2 linked regions of the Callithrix jacchus genome follow. The protein of the gene in region 2 interacts with the protein of the main gene of each other region in a pairwise test. Links are inferred from orthologs where the notes say so. Each region holds a gene or a part of one and is shown on either strand. Other genes may lie near its edges.

Evidence for each region. The genes of interacting proteins can lie anywhere in the genome.
Region 1: the proteins of AP4B1 (region 2) and ZNF576 interact in binary tests that used the Homo sapiens proteins (3 or more experiments, as listed by UniProt). The two-hybrid records come from large-scale screens. The link is inferred for Callithrix jacchus from reciprocal best matches to the Homo sapiens genes AP4B1 and ZNF576.

The regions. Positions count from the first base shown.
Region 1 is NC_133523.1:38,088,967-38,096,959, forward strand, and holds the start of ZNF576 (zinc finger protein 576), read left to right. Parts: upstream 1-2,661; 5' UTR 2,662-2,814; intron 2,815-3,155; exon of another isoform or gene 3,156-3,158; 5' UTR 3,159-3,170; coding exon 3,171-3,255; intron 3,256-5,113; coding exon 5,114-5,541; 3' UTR 5,542-7,993. Other genes in the region: IRGQ (immunity-related GTPase family Q protein), read right to left, coding at 924-1,453. UniProt on the Homo sapiens protein: May be involved in transcriptional regulation.
Region 2 is NC_133508.1:151,877,291-151,884,719, reverse strand, and holds part of AP4B1 (AP-4 complex subunit beta-1), read left to right. Parts: coding exon of another isoform or gene 1-125; intron 126-952; coding exon of another isoform or gene 953-1,118; intron 1,119-2,058; coding exon of another isoform or gene 2,059-2,247; exon of another isoform or gene 2,248-2,479; intron 2,480-2,545; exon of another isoform or gene 2,546-2,602; intron 2,603-2,604; exon of another isoform or gene 2,605-2,890; intron 2,891-3,037; coding exon 3,038-3,226; intron 3,227-4,997; coding exon 4,998-5,222; intron 5,223-6,011; coding exon 6,012-6,142; intron 6,143-6,509; coding exon 6,510-6,657; intron 6,658-7,429. Other genes in the region: DCLRE1B (5' exonuclease Apollo), read right to left, coding at 1-125, 953-1,118, 2,059-2,247.

The sequences.
Region 1 (7,993 bases), on a different chromosome or scaffold from region 2:
ACCCCGTCTCTACCAAAAATACCCCCAAAAAAGGAGAGAAAAAAAATAGCCGGGCATGGTGACGGGTGCCTGTAATCCCAGCTACGTGAGAGGCTGAAGCAGAATAGCTGGAACCCAGGAGGCAGAGGTTGTAATGAGCCGATATCGCACCTTTGCAGTCTAGCCCAGGAAACAGTGTAAGACGCCATCTCAAATAAATGAATAAAATAATATATTTAATAATAACACTCATTGCGAGTATGGCTTTAGGGCAACCGAGGTCGCTTGAAAACCAAGCTAATGGTGGAGACGGCTCAAGGATTATCATTTTCAGGTAAAATCTTCCAGGGGGCTGGGCACAGTGTCTCATGCCTGTCATTCCAGCACTTTGGGAGGTCAAGGCAGGCAGATCACCTTGGTTGGGCCAGGGACTGGAAAAATGAGCCTCAGGGCCCCAACAAATAAAGTGTTAAGCCCTTCCCTTCTAATCCTAGGGCTCTGGGAAGCCTGGGTGGGAGCGTGGCTTGAGGCCAGGAGTTCAAGACCAGCCTGGGGAAGCAGTGAGATCCTATTTTGTAGCCTGTAGTACTGGCTACTCTGGAGGCTGAGGCAGAAGGATCATTTGAGCCCAGGAGGTGGAGGCCCTCAGTGAGCTAGGATTGTGCCACTGCACTCCATCCTGTCTCAAAAAAAGACTGGGTATGGTGGCTCTCGACTGTAATCCTAGCACTTTGGGAGGCTGAGGCGGGAGTATTGTTTAAGGCCAAGAGTTCAAATTCAACCTAGCCAACATAGCGAGATCCTGTCTTTGACGGAAAAAAATATACAATAATAGAGTTAAGCTTTGCCTCAAAACCAGTGGGGGAGGGATCTCACGGACCTCAAAAAGGACCTAGGTGCGTAGGGTCCCAACTAAGGGACCCAGCCAGAAAGCCGGCACTCACCTCCTCAGCGCTTCTGCCTGGCTCTGCAGTGCCACCCGGAGGCGCTCTAGCTCCTCACAGCCGTCGCAGCTGCCACAGTTCGCCGGTAGCACAAACAGATCCGCGGCTCCTAACCCAGCGCTGTTCAGCAGAGCTGCAGTCTGATCACGGGCCTCGGTGGCATTCTGTGAATCCCCAGGACGGAGGTTCCGCACAGCCAGTAGCGGCGTCCCTCGGGCCAGGGCGGCCCGCGCTGCCTCTCCCAGGGCTGGGGCCAAGGGTTCGCCGTTGCCCTCAGGTCCCGGCAGCACCAGTACCAGCAAGTTGGCTTCCGCCGCCCAGGGCCCCGGCGCTGCGGGTGGACAGCTCAGCTCGCCCAGAAAAAGGCCCGGGCCCGCAGCTCTCAGGCTGGGGACCCCAGAGTCCGGCCGTCCCTCAGGGGCCTCGAGGGTCTCCACATCCTTGTCGCACAGCGCTGTGATCAGCGCAGACTTTCCCAAGCCCGGAGGCCCGAGGAATAAGGCGGTCACGTCACCCTGCGGCGGAGGCATGGCTGGAAAGCAACGGGTGGAGAAGACCCGGGTCAGTGAACACCTGGCCTTTGTCTTTCCTAGCCGCCCCACCCGGAACCCAGGACTCAATCCTCCACTCTGTCCCCTTCGATTCTTGAGCGTCATTCTCCGGGACCTAAAAAGCCAGAGCCCAGACGCTATTCCCCCGGGATCCCAGGCATCCTGTCTGCCCACCCTCTTTCTAGATGGAAACGTTTCCCCTTCTGCTTCAAAAACTCAAAAATCAGGGGCGGTGGCTCATGCCTGTAATCCCAGCGCTTTGGGAGGCCGAGGCGGGAGGATCGCTTGAGGCCAGGAATTCGAGACCAGCCTGGGTAACATGTGGGACTCGCTGGTAGAGTCCCTGTCCCTATAAAAAAATAAAATTTAGCCGGGAGTGGTGGCGCACGCCTGTAGCCCCAGCTACTCGGAAGGCTGCGGTGGGAGGGTCGCTTCAGCTCAGGATTTGGAGGCTGCAGTGGGCCATGAAGGCCCTCTCTCAAAAATAAATAAATAAAAATAAAACCTCAGAAATTTGGCTTCCAGTCCCTCCTCCCTCGGACACACTGTTGTTTTTATCCTCCCCCTCTCCGCCTTCCAAATCACCAACCGAGCAGAGCCGACCCACGGGAGCGTGCAGTCGGTGGCAGTGGGTCAGTCGCGGAGAAGCTCGACACTAAGCCGCGGTGGACGGAGGCCGAAGAGGCCAGAACGCCGTGATTTAGAGATGCCGGGACGCGTCCCGTTGGCTTTAACCTGACGTCACTCACTCAACCAAGGGGGTGTGTCTTGGAAGCGAGACTGCAGAGAACCAGACCTTCGCAGCGCCTGCGCAGAACGGCCAAAGTGCGCACGCCCCTCTTCCGCGGCCTCAGAACCTAGAACAATGAGGGAGTCAACGCGCCTGCGCGCCACGAGCGCCTACTCATTCAGACGCAAAAAGCTTAGGTATCTACGGCACAGGGGGCTAAACGTCATCATAACGCGCCCTAGTGCAGAAAAGGACCTCTCCCGTTATTTTCAGCACCGGGCTGGTGCGACTGTACTATTGCCGGATGGCAAATCCGGGCTCTCGGCTCCGAGAGACTCATGTGGCGAAAGGGCGCAAACCACGGGGGACCCTGAGACTGAGTGGGCCCTATTCCACTTCTCTCTGGGTGGCGGCGCTGTGGCGAGAGACTGACAGGCGCAGCGAAAGGCAGCCCTCTGCTGTACGAAGGAAAACAGAGGCCTGGGAGCAGGAACCTGTAGGCAGCGCTTGCGGGTAGCGGGATAGTGGCTGCAAGCGCGGCGCGGGCTCTGGGCGGAACAAAAATCACAGGATGTCAGAGGATGTTTCCCGGGAAGAACTGGGATAAAGGGTGGGTATCACTACTTGCCCCAAGACACTCGAGACTGGGATGACGCTGGTGTCAAAGATAAAGGCTCCCAGGCTGAGTTCAGTGAGTTTGATGCAGCAGGTCATAGGTCACACCAGTGAGAAGACTCTAGGGGAGTCCCAAACCCGGGAAGTCCAGTCTTTTGGGAGATTTGAAGCTTCTCTTAAAAAGAACTCCACCAATTAGAGTTCAAGGAGAGTATGTCGTGGGGGTCAAAGGCAGGCAAGGAGAGCCTCTGGCGATGTCAAAGGTCATAGACTTAGGGTGCCCTCTGCTGGTAACAGATGAACAGCTTCACTTATGCACGCTCCTCTCTTGACTAGAAGGGTCCCAGCACCATGGAGGACCCGAACCCTGAAGAGAACATGGAGCAGCAGGATTCACCCAAGGACATAAGTCCCCAGAGCCCAGGAGGCAACATCTGTGAGTACACATGGCTGGCTGGCTAGAGGAGGGTGGGATGCAGGAGTGACGCTAAGATCTCTGTGGCACTTTAGTGTCCAAGGCGCCACAGAGTTTTGTCTGTCGAGAAGGTGCTGTAATGGCCCATAAGCTGCTCCAGAAGGAAGTGCCTCTCCTCACACCTGCTTTTGTGGCCAGAGTACTCACCCTCCTCTGGCCGCATAAGCAAGATTGCGATGCTTATGCATTCAGAGGGATAAGGTGGCTTCCAGGAGAGGCTTGGGTTGGAGATGTGGCTAAGAATAGTTTTACTGGGAGAGAAGCCCCAAGATCCTAGTGCTGACTCTGCCCTAGACTTTCAGTGTAACTTGGGCCTTGGTCTCCCAGTCTGTCAAAAGAGGCTGGCACTACCCACCTTACAGGGTGGTTATGGGATTAACTGCAGCAAAGGGGACAGCTGGGTGTTAATGATGGTAGCCAGTTTGATATGTAATAGCAGTATCTCCTGCTCAATGTTTTATTATGTGCTGCGTGTATTTATTCTTAATGAATGATTTTAACATTCATTATCTCATTCAGTCCTTCGAATAATAGGCCCTTTAAACTGGGAACTGAGGCAGAGAAAGGTATTTCTAACAAGAGCTGTAGTCTCAATGCCCTTGAGCCAGAGACTACCAGGAACACACCCGCAGTTGAACACATTGGGTTTATGGCTCAGTGCAATGAAGAACACACACCATGGAGAACTGTGGAGTGACTCACTAAGTGTTAAAAACGACATAGGATTTGGGCTTGTGGGGGGTGGTTTTGGAAAAGGTTCCAGCAAAAGTGTTGGGTGGCTCTGGATTGGATGCCACCAGGAAGCAGGGGCAATTCTGTGATTGGCTATTTTAATAAATCTTATGCAGAAGGGGGAAGGAAGAAGGTGAGGCTCAAGTTCTGACTGATAAAGCAGCAGCGGACATTCACATTAGCCAGGATGGGAGGAAGGTTGGTCATTTGTCTGCTTGGACAGCATTCATATTTTGTCTGTGTTCAGACATTATGATGATGTAGTCTTGTCTTGATTCATTCTTGTCACAGCATGGCCTTGGCTGTCCTTGATGTTGTGAGAAATTATTTATGTTCAACAGAACACCAAGGTCTAGCTGTGAGTTCCAGAGCTGATCCTGGGTGTCGAGCTACATTGTCTGTATCATTAGTCACCATTGCAAAGGACTACATAGCAATTCAGTTATTCCTTCCAGTGGTCCTATGGAATAGATGCTGTTATTAGTGCATTTTCCAGATAAAGAAACTGGTGTGATTGTGTCTAGGAAGTGGGGGAGCGGTCTGGCTCCAAACATTAGGCTGTAATCACCGTACCCCTCTATTGGGCTGGCTGACTCTGGGCTCCACCATTTCTTTTCCTAGCCTCATGACTATGGGCAACTTGCCTAACCTCTTTTTTTTTGGGAGATGGAGTCTCACTCTGTCACTCAAGCTGGAGTGCAGTGGCATGATATCGGCTGACTGCAACATCTGCCTCCCAAGTTCAAGGAATTCTCCTGCCTCAGCCTCCTGAGTAGCTGGGACTACAGGTGAATACCGCCATGCCCAGCTAATTTTTTGTATTTTAGTAGAGACGGGGTTTTACTGTGTTGCTGAGGCTGGTCTTGAACTCCTGAACTCACCCACCTCAGCCTCCTAATCTCTTTGAATCTCAGTTTGTTCATCCATAAAATGAGTCCAAGAACAGTTCTCCTGTGTGGTCGTCCAGCATTAGCACAGAACCTAGCACACAGCACACTCAATGTTAATTGCTGGTGTGATTCTGGGGCTCAGGAGAGGTCCTGGAGACTCCCACTGGCCTCCCCTGACCTCTTCCCACATCCCTCAGGCCACCTGGGGGCCCCGAAGTGCACCCGCTGCCTCATCACCTTCGCAGATTCCAAGTTCCAGGAGCGTCACATGAAGCGGGAACACCCAGCGGATTTCGTGGCCCAGAAGCTGCAGGGGGTCCTCTTCATCTGTTTCACCTGCGCCCGCTCCTTCCCCTCTTCCAAAGCCCTGATCACCCACCAGCGCAGCCATGGTCCAGCCGTCAAGCCCACCCAACCGGTTGCAACCACTACTGCGCAACCCATCTTCCCTTGTCCTGACTGTGGCAAGACCTTTGGGCAGGCTGCTTCTCTGAGGCGGCACCGCCAGATGCATGAGGCCCGAGCCCCTCCTGGCACCTTCGCCTGCACAGAGTGTGGTCAGGACTTTGCTCAGGAAGCAGGGCTGCATCAACACTATATTCGGCATGCCCGGGGGGAGCTCTGAGTGCAGCTTAAGCCTCTCCATGGTGACAGGTGACGTTGTGCCCCATGAGACCCACCCATGATATGGGGTGCAGGAACTCTGGGGGCCCTGAGGGATTTGCTTCCCTCCCCTGGGAGGGCAGATAGCTCTTAATAGAGAGGACCCAGAAGATTCTCATTTAGAGCTTCAGTCTTTGGAGGACACAGGGCCTTCAGGAGATGGTGAAATCAGACAATAATGAGATCTTTTGTTTATAAAAAAATGGGAAGAGAGTATGGGAGAGAAATGATTTGTGTCTCCATAATTCCCAGTTATACACTTAGCTGTGGATTGTGCCATCACCCTTCATTCTTCCCAGATGGATACCATGGGCTATGGGAGCAAACTGCCCTGGACCTTTGCCTGAATGAGGGCAGGGAAGGTAAGGTGTTGCTGGCCTGTAGTGCCACCGGATGAGTTCCAGATATGGGGCAACTTGGGCCTTTGGGGAGGGGGCAGCAAAGTTGGGAGCTGGATCCCAATTGAGTGGGGTGGAAATTCAAGTCCTTGAATCTCTTCACACCCCCCCCTGCCACCCTCCTCATTCAGAGGGGCCATGTCACTGGATGGCACTAGTCCCCTGATAATTGTTTAAATAATTTTGGGTATCATTCTAGTCATGAAATATTTTTTCATATTTGTAGGTGACATGGTATGAATAAGCTAACGGGAATAGTATCTAAAAACAAAACATCCATATTAAAATGTCTAAACCGGGAGTTCTGGCTTTTGAGTGGGAATTTCCAGAGAACATAAGGGTGTGGGCAGGTGGGAGAACTCAGGGCAGAGTTGGCCTCGCCTTGTGGGGAAACTGATTTGGAATCAAACAGAGATGCCTTCTGTTTCAGGTTTTATTTGGCCAACACTGGGAGATTTCTCATTAAGATCCTATTTTCAGCTCTCTTGAAAGGCCCAACCCAGGGGCAGGGCAGAAGCTACAACAGGCTGGAGCAAGCAGTGGGTGTCACCCTCAACTGGAGATGAATCCCACCAGGCCAGTATTACTCCCTTAGTTACCTGCCCTGCACCTGCAGACAATGATCAATGCCCTGAATATAACACTCGTAGACTCTGTTTATGTGGAGGGATGTTTGCTTTTTTTTTGAGACGGAGTTTCGCTCTTGTTACCCAGGCTAGAGTGCAATGGCGTGATCTCGGCTCACCACAACCTCCGCCTTCTGGGTTCAGGCAATTCTCCTGCCTCAGCCTCCTGAGTAGCTGGGATTACAGGCACGCACCACCATGCCCAGCTAATTTTTTGTATTTTTAGTAGAGACGGGGGTTTCACCACGTTGACCAGGATGGTCTGGATCTCTTGACCTCGTGATCCCAAATCCTAGCACTTGGCCTCCCAAAGTGCTAGGATTACAGGCGTAAGCCACCACGCCCGGCCCGTGGAGGGATGTTTTTAAAGCCCACAGGTGAGGTGGATGTGGTAGACTGATCACTATCAGTTTTTAGCTAGGCACATGGTAGCTGAAAGACTACATTTCCCAGATTCCTTTGCAGCTAGATGTGGCCATGTGACTGAGTTCCTGCTAAATTCCTGGGTAGAATGCTCAAGCTTAAGAAAGGGGTGGTCAGGTGCGGTGGCTCATGCCTGTAATCCTAATACTTTCGGAGGCCAAGGCCTGGACACCCTGAGGTCAGGGGTCCAAGACCAGCCTGGCCAACATGGGGAAACCCCGTCTTTACTAAACTACAAAAATTAGCCGGTTGAGGTGGCACAGGTCTGTAATCCCAGCTACTTGGGAGGCTGAAGCAGGAGAATTGCTTGAACCTGGAAGACAGAGGTTGCAGTGACCCAAGATTGTGCCACTGAACTTCAGCCTGGGTGACACAGCAAGACTCCATTTAAAAAAGAAAAGAACATACCTCTTTTCCACCCTCCTAACTGTAATACAGACATGGTATCCAGCCATCTCGGACCATAAGGACAAGAGCAACACGTGGGATGGCAGAGCAACAAGATAGCAGGAGTCTGGGTCTCTGGTCAATTTCATGGAAAAAGACCATACCAGCCCACTTTCATATTGCTATCTAAGAAATAAACTTCTTATTTATGCCACCATTATTTTGGGTCTCTGTTACATGCAACAAGAACAGGGGTCTGCAAACGATTGCCAACTCTAGCCTGCTGCCTGGTTTTACAAATAAAATTTTATTGTAGCCAGGCGTGGTGGTGCACGCCTGTGGTCCCAGCTACTCGGGAGGCTGAGGCAGGAGAATTGCTTGAACCTGGGAATCGGAGGTTGCATTGAGCCGAGGTCATGCCACTGCACACCAGCCTGGGCAATGAGTGAGACTCAGTCTCAAAAAAAATTTATTGGAACACAGTTTTATACTCACTACTTACGTATTGATGATGACTGCTTTTGCCAAGAACAGCAGATATGAGTAGTTGCAACAGAGATCCTTATGGCCTACAAAGCTT
Region 2 (7,429 bases):
TTCTTGTCGGGAAGGAAGAACCAGGGCTGGGTTGCAATTGGTGTTGTCTAGGTATAAAGTATGGATCTGCTTCCCCAGTGTCAGAGCTGGCTCCTTCAGCATGGATGGTGTATATCGAAAATCACCTGGAAGAGTATGTATATGGGAGCAGAAGGTCAGAGACAAAAGAAGACAAGACTTTCCTACCTCAACAATAGATGGGTGTTTGCTTACAAGTCTTTGAAAAAACTATTATGTACCCTGGCACTGAACCATGCAGTATAGCTGCATGGTTTCTTTGTGGAAATGGCTCCATCCTACTTCTATTTTTCAATTACTCTTCACATGGTTTGGACCCTTAAAGAGTGGGAAATCAGCTGGGTGCAGTGGTTCATGCCTGTAATCCCAGCACTTTGGGAGGCCAAGGCAGGTGGATCACCTGAGGTCAGAAGTTTGAGACCAGCCTGGCCAACATGGTGAAACCCCATGTCTACTAAAAATACAAAAATTAGCTGGGCGTTGTGGTGGGTGCCTGTAATCCCAGCTACCTGGGAGGCCGAGGCAGGAGAATTGCTTCAACCCGGGAGGCGGAGGTTGTAGTTAGCCTCGATCACACTACTGCACTCCAGCCTGGGTGACAAGAGCAAAACTCCACCTCAAAAAAAAAAAATAGAGTAGGAAATCAGTTGAGATGGGGTCACTATGCTCATATGTGATGAAGCTAGAAGGACTCCAGCACCTCCAGACTTCTATTGAGTTAAGGCTGCTCAAGAAAAGTCTGCCAGGTGTGGTGACTTACGCTGATAATCCCAGCTACTGGGGAGGCTGAAGTGGGAGGATCACTTGAGGTCAGGAGTTTGAGACCAGCCTAGGCAACATTTTGAGGCCCCAGTCTATACATTAAAAAAAAGGAAAGAAAAAGAAAAGTAATATCTAGTCTGGAGAAGTCGCTGGGATTCCTTGAGAGGCCCACCTGTATAGAGGATGGTTCCAAAATATCCTTCAAAGAGAAACATGACTGAACCAGGACAGTGATTGGCATCGATGAGGGTTACTGTCATGGTCTCTCGTCCAATTTCATCTAGGGGCAATACATGGCTCTCACCAACCTCCAGGGCTCGGATCCATTGCTTAGATACCTGAGGAAACAGTTAGTCATCCCAGTGACCACGGGCTCCCCTCCCTGTTACCTCCTTGGGTCAGGGACTATCCCAAACCTGAATGGAAGAAAGCTGACCAAATCCTGAGCCAGCCAGGAGCAGAAGCTGTAATGGGGATTCCCAAGCAATCTGCCCTTCCTCCTTCCACTCCCCATCCCACCCTTTGTATAACTTAATTAAGAGTTCAGCAAACAGTCTAGTCAGCAATTCTCAAACTTATTCCTGATCTAAATCTCTTGGAGACTTTAGGGTGGGGTGGGGAGAGAGCTGGAGAACCACCGAGCACATTAAGCAGATTCTTATGATGAGGCAAGTTTAGGCCAGGGGCAGTGGCTGACGCCTGTAATCCCAGCACTTTGGGAGGCTCAGGTGGTCAGATCACCTGAGGTCAGGAGTTCGAGACCAACCTGGCCAACACAGTGAAACCCCATCTCTACTAAAAATACAAAAAAATTAGCCGGGTGTGGTGGCCGGCGCCCTGTAATCCCAGCTTCTCAGGAGTTTAAAATAAGAGAAGCGCTTGAACCCAGGAGGCGGAGGTTGTGGTGAGCCGAGATTGTACCACTGCACTCTAGCCTGGGTGACAAGAGCAAAACTTAATCTCAAAAAAAAAAAAAAACGATGAGGCAAGTTTGGGAAACATTGGCCTAGCTTATATATAAAGGTAGCAATAGCTTCCTTGGCTGGACTAAAATATCTCAAGTCGGTCACTTGGAAATCATGTTCTTATTCTAGGTTAAAGATGCATTTCTGGTCCTGCTGAGCAGTCTATGAAAAAAAATACATTTCTGGGTTCAAACAATTTCCGTATTTGTAAAACAGTCTTCATGGACCCCATTCTATAACTCCAAGACTGACAGGTCAAAGTCCCAACCCAGATGCCTGGATCAGCTCTAGGAGGCCGACTCCAGCCCCATACCTGTAGGTGACGATGCAAGAGGTGGGCTGTAATTGGGGAGCAGTAGAGGGGCCGGGCCCAGGTGCTAGACAGGCCCACGGTGTGGTCCGAGTGCATGTGAGACAAGAAGAAGAGCCGTGCGGTGCCAGCCCGGCGCAGGCTCCAGAAGTCCACTGCGATGGGCGTATGGGGGATCAAGACCCCATTCATGGTGGCAGGGTTGGAGTCACCAGAGGGATGCTCTCCATGGGGGCAGGGTTCCTGCCTGAGACTTCCACAACGGCGCCCCGATAAAAGTCATGCTGGGACAAGAACAGGGCCAGAGACCCTAAGGGAAAGAGCCCAGTTGAAGAAAAAGTTACTAGAGTGGGTAGAAAAAGGAAGTGACCGTGCCCCCGGGAACCCAAATCGCGGAAGGCGCTCAGCACTCCCACCCGCGCGCGGGAGTGGAAGCCGGGTAGGGCACTCAAAAGCGCGCGCTGCTGGGAGGAGACAGGCCGAAGTAGCCGATTTCCGATTGCCCGCCGCACTCCACCGGAGGTAGCCGAGCGGCTGCGCCGGGACGGTGAGAGGTTGGGGGAAGGGCATCCTAAGGTCGCAGTCCAGACTAGGCTCAGCGGTCGCTCGCTGGGAGACCCGCAGGGCTGCTCTGGTCTCTTGACAGGGGGGCGGAACTTCCGTAAAAAACAAGATTGGGCCTATCCGCGATGAGAACGGTGCGGAGGCGCACGAAAGGCTGAAACTAGAGAGGGAGGGGCCTGCGGTCAGTCGGCCGCGGCGCTGGAAATCCCGCGGAGGGCCTACTGGTAACCGGAGAGATCTGTGGGCGGGGCGAACGGCCTGCCCGGCGAGGGTAGGGCCTGAAGAGCTCAGGGTGGGGCTCGCGGGGTCGCGGAGGGCGTGGCAGTGTGTCAGAGCCAGCGTGCCGGCCCTACGGAAGCCAAGCCCGGGGCGAGATCTCGCCTTTGTCTTTTCACTGACCCGTATATCCTTCACTCAGGCTCCCACATCAGGACGAGGAGGAGCCCACGAGTTACCGTGGGAGCCGTGGGAGCTGCCCTGTGACTGTTAGGAAGATGCCTTACCTCGGCTCCGAGGACGTGGTGAAGGAGCTGAAGAAGGCTCTGTGCAATCCTCACATTCAAGCTGATAGGCTGCGCTACCGGAATGTCATCCAGCGAGTAATTAGGTATCACCTTCCCTTCGTGCTAACTGCCCGCCTTGCCGTCCCCATCGGGGCTCCCTAGCCCCGGTCTCTCTCAAAGGGTAAATTAGCTTTCACACTTAGCAGTTACACGTTCGGTCTTCGTCCTGCTGCTTTGGAGTACCATCTTAGTCTCCCACCTGCAGCGTCTGTTACTCAGCTGGGTAGTTTCCTCCGTATCAAGGGCTTGAACGATAATTACTGCTGACCCCTGGATCTATAATATAGCGAGTACAGACTTCCTTTTTTAGCTTCAAACCCACGTATCCCACTGCCTGCTTGGCATTTTCATCTGAATGGTTTATCAGAGAGGTATGCCCGAAATAGCACGGACATCCTTCCGTCTTCCTCAAACCTGTTCTTCGGCTTAGGTTTGCGTTGATAAATGCCACCAGCAGCCGACTAAGCATGGGAGCCAACCTTGGGGACACCTGAACCCTGATTTCTCAAGTCAGATAGTTCTAATTCATAATTCTAAATATCTGTCTTCTCTTGTTTATTGGCATTGTTGTTCTGGCCCAGGCCTTCATCACCAAAGCAATTGCACCAGCTTTCTCGTAGGCCCCCTTGAGTCGTTGGAGACAGAATTTTTCCATTATACAAATCTTAACATATAACTCTTGCCTACAGCTATGGTTCACAAACTTTACTATGCACAAAAGCCCCTGGGGTGCTTTATTTCCTCCTGTCCAGGGATTGATTCTGATTTCAGTAGGGTGGCAGGGAACCCAGGAATCTGTATTTTTAGTAAATATCTCAGCTGATTCCAGTAGGAAACCAGTTTGAGAAAGAAAAAAGTCCAAACTTATCACAGCACCCGAGGAACAAGCTGTCAATCCAACTACCTGCAGACTCTCAAAAGAATGTGTGCCGGTCCTACTCATGTCTACATATCTCATAGCATGTATCATCACCTTTCTATTACATCTGCCTGTGGCCTCCTGCTGATTCAGCTAAAGTATTACTTCCTCTGTGAAGAAACATTTTCTGAATTCATGCCAGTGTCAGACCTCTGAATCCCCTCTGTATCTTGTACAATACATTTGTTTACATACTTATCTATTGGCCGGGCACTGTGGCTCACACCTGTAATCCCGGCACTTTGGGAGGCCGATGTGGGTGGATTACGAGGTCAGGAGTCCAAGACCAGCCTGGCCAACGTGATGAAACCCCGTCTCTACTAAAAATACAAAAATTAGCCAGGCGTGGTGGCAGGCGTCTGTAGTCCCAGCTACTCGGGAGACTGAGGCAGGAGAATCACTTGAACCCTGGAGGCAGAGGTTGCACTGAGCCAAGGTTGCGCCACTGCACTCCAGCCTGGGCAACAGAGCAAGACTCCTTCTCAAAAAAAATAAACAAAAATAAAAAATACTTATCTATCATACTGTAATGAATGGCATTCTTAACTGACTCATTAATAGATTTGTAGTTCTCAGAGGTCTGAGACCACACCTTCTTCAAGATTATGTTCCCAGAGCATAGCCCTGGATATTACATCCAGGCATGTAAAAGTTGAATTTCACCAAAGTGTACTAGGAATTCAATAAGTGTTTGTTGAATGAATAGAAGAATAATGTTTATTGCAGGCCTATGGTATGAAGTATTGTGTGATATAATAGACAAGGTATTCCTGGCTGCTACCATCTAAGAGATCACAATCTAGTTGAGTAACCAGGAGATATATAGGTAAAACTCCCTCCATTGTAAGTTGGAGATTTTGTATTTTACTTCTTTCTAACACGTGTGTTGGTTTCAGGTACATGACTCAGGGCTTGGACATGTCTGGTGTTTTTATGGAAATGGTGAAGGCCAGTGCCACTGTAGATATTGTCCAGAAGAAGTTGGTTTATCTGTACATGTGCACATATGCTCCCCTAAAACCAGATCTGGCTCTCCTGGCCATCAATACACTGTGCAAAGATTGCTCAGACCCCAATCCAATGGTGCGAGGGCTGGCGTTACGGAGCATGTGCAGCCTCAGGTGAGTACCCTCTTCTGTGTATGGTCTTCAATGGCTGCCTCAGCAGGGCAGATTTTTAAAGAGCACAATTTATTTGAGCTCCTTAATACTGGGGAAAACACTATTGTATGCTGAACTCAGATTTTCAGCTGTTGCTTTGGCCTGATAACCTGTATCATACAATTTTATTAGAGGGAGTTTTTCATTCTTACCCTCAATAAAATAGTCCTCAGTTTTGGTTAAATATTTCTAAACAATTACATGTGTATCTTTTTTGCTGCCTGTGCAGCAGCATTCAAAATGAAAAGTCAAATTAGAAAAAAAAAAAAGAAAAGTCAAATTAGGTTGGGTATGGTGGCTTATGCCTGTAGTCTCAGCACTTCGGGAGACTCAGGCAGGAAGATTTCTTGAGCCCAGGAATTCGAGACCAGCCTGGGCAAGATGGTGAGACCCTGTATCTACAAAAAATTTAAAAATTAAATGGGCATGGTGACACACACCTGTAGTCTCAGCTACTTGGAAGGCTTAGGCAGGAGGATGGCTTGAGCCCAGGAATTCAAGGCAGCAGTGAGCTATGATCAGGCCACTGTACTCCAGCCTGGGTGACAAAGTGAGACCCCCATCTCTAACAAAAACAAGAAAAAAACAGAAAAGTCAAATTATGGCTTTTTAAACTTGATAGAGATTCTCTGCAATTCTTCATGATCTGATAGAGGCAGCATCTGCTAAACCCTCTGTTAAGTGAACAGGGCTGATATATGTCAAAATTAGTATTTCAGGATCTGGCTAACTCCAGAATGTGTTGCTTAGGATGCCTGGTGTGCAGGAGTATATACAACAGCCTATTCTCAATGGTCTGCGTGATAAGGCTTCATATGTCAGGAGAGTGGCAGTCCTTGGATGTGCCAAGATGCATAATCTTCATGGAGACTCTGAAGTGGGTAGGTTCCGTGTAATCCATCATGGCCAATGTGCCTCTCTTACGTATAACTTTATAAAAGAATATGTGGCTTTGGTTGAAAATAATAATGTGGCCCTAGTTCTGTATATATCTCTTTAAGTGTGATGCAGGGCTTGGTATCTTCTGGGGCTCTGGTGAGATCTGATATTAGCTGCTTAGAACAGTCTGGACATGGCAGTTTTTTTGCCTTATACTTTAGTATGGCTTTTGTCATTTTTGTAGCAGAGAAGTTCAATTTTGTCTGCCTGGAGCTATTACTCTGGCTCTATCCCTGTTACTCTGAAGCTTTTCTTCTTTATCTGAAGAAGAAAATACACTGTGTTCTTTATCTTTGTTCTTTTTTATAGATGGTGCCCTTGTTAATGAATTATACAGTTTGCTGCGTGACCAGGATCCAATTGTGGTTGTGAACTGCTTGAGGTCTCTAGAGGAAATTCTGAAACAGGAAGGAGGCATTGTCATCAATAAGCCCATTGCCCACCATCTCTTAAATCGGTTTGGATGCCTCAGTGCTCTTTTTATTATGAGATCTGCGTCCTTGTGGGATCTTGTTAATTTACTGAAGTATTGAACAACTTATGTGTGGTAGAAAAGAAAGTTAACTATTATTAACTCCCTTGCATTTCACTGAGAGAACTTTTATTTGCCTTAGTTTCCCTTATTGATACAGGGAAATAGAAATATCCTGTGGGAATAGGTTCTACTCTTCTCTAGTCATTATATCCCTCAAACTAAGCCATTTATAGCATCTTAAAATGTAGAGAACCTGGACCTAGTATATGTAGTGTATGCTGATCATGTCTTTGGTCTTAGATGAGTGTGCATGTGTACTCATCTTGGAATTTTAAGCCTATTCTGTGGAAACTTTAAATAGTACATGAAAAGAATGATTTGATTATGGTACAGCCTATTTTTTTTGTTTGTTTGTTTGTTTGTTTTTTGAGATAGAGTCTTGCTCTGTAGCCCAGGCTGGAGTGCAATGGCATGATCTCAGCTCACTCAACCTCCGCCTCCTGGGTTCAAGCGATTCTCCTGCCTCAGCCTCCCAAGTAGCTGGGACTATAGGTACCTGCTACTACACCCAGCTAATTTTTCTGTTTTTAGTAGAGACCAGGTTTCACCATGTTGGTCAGGCTGGTCTCGAATTCCTGACCTTAGGTGATCCGCGTGCCTCAGTCTCCTGAAGTGCTGGGATTACAGGCATGAGCCACTGCGCCCGGCCCTCACAGCCTATTTTTAAGAATTCTCCCTTTGTTATGGTGAACAA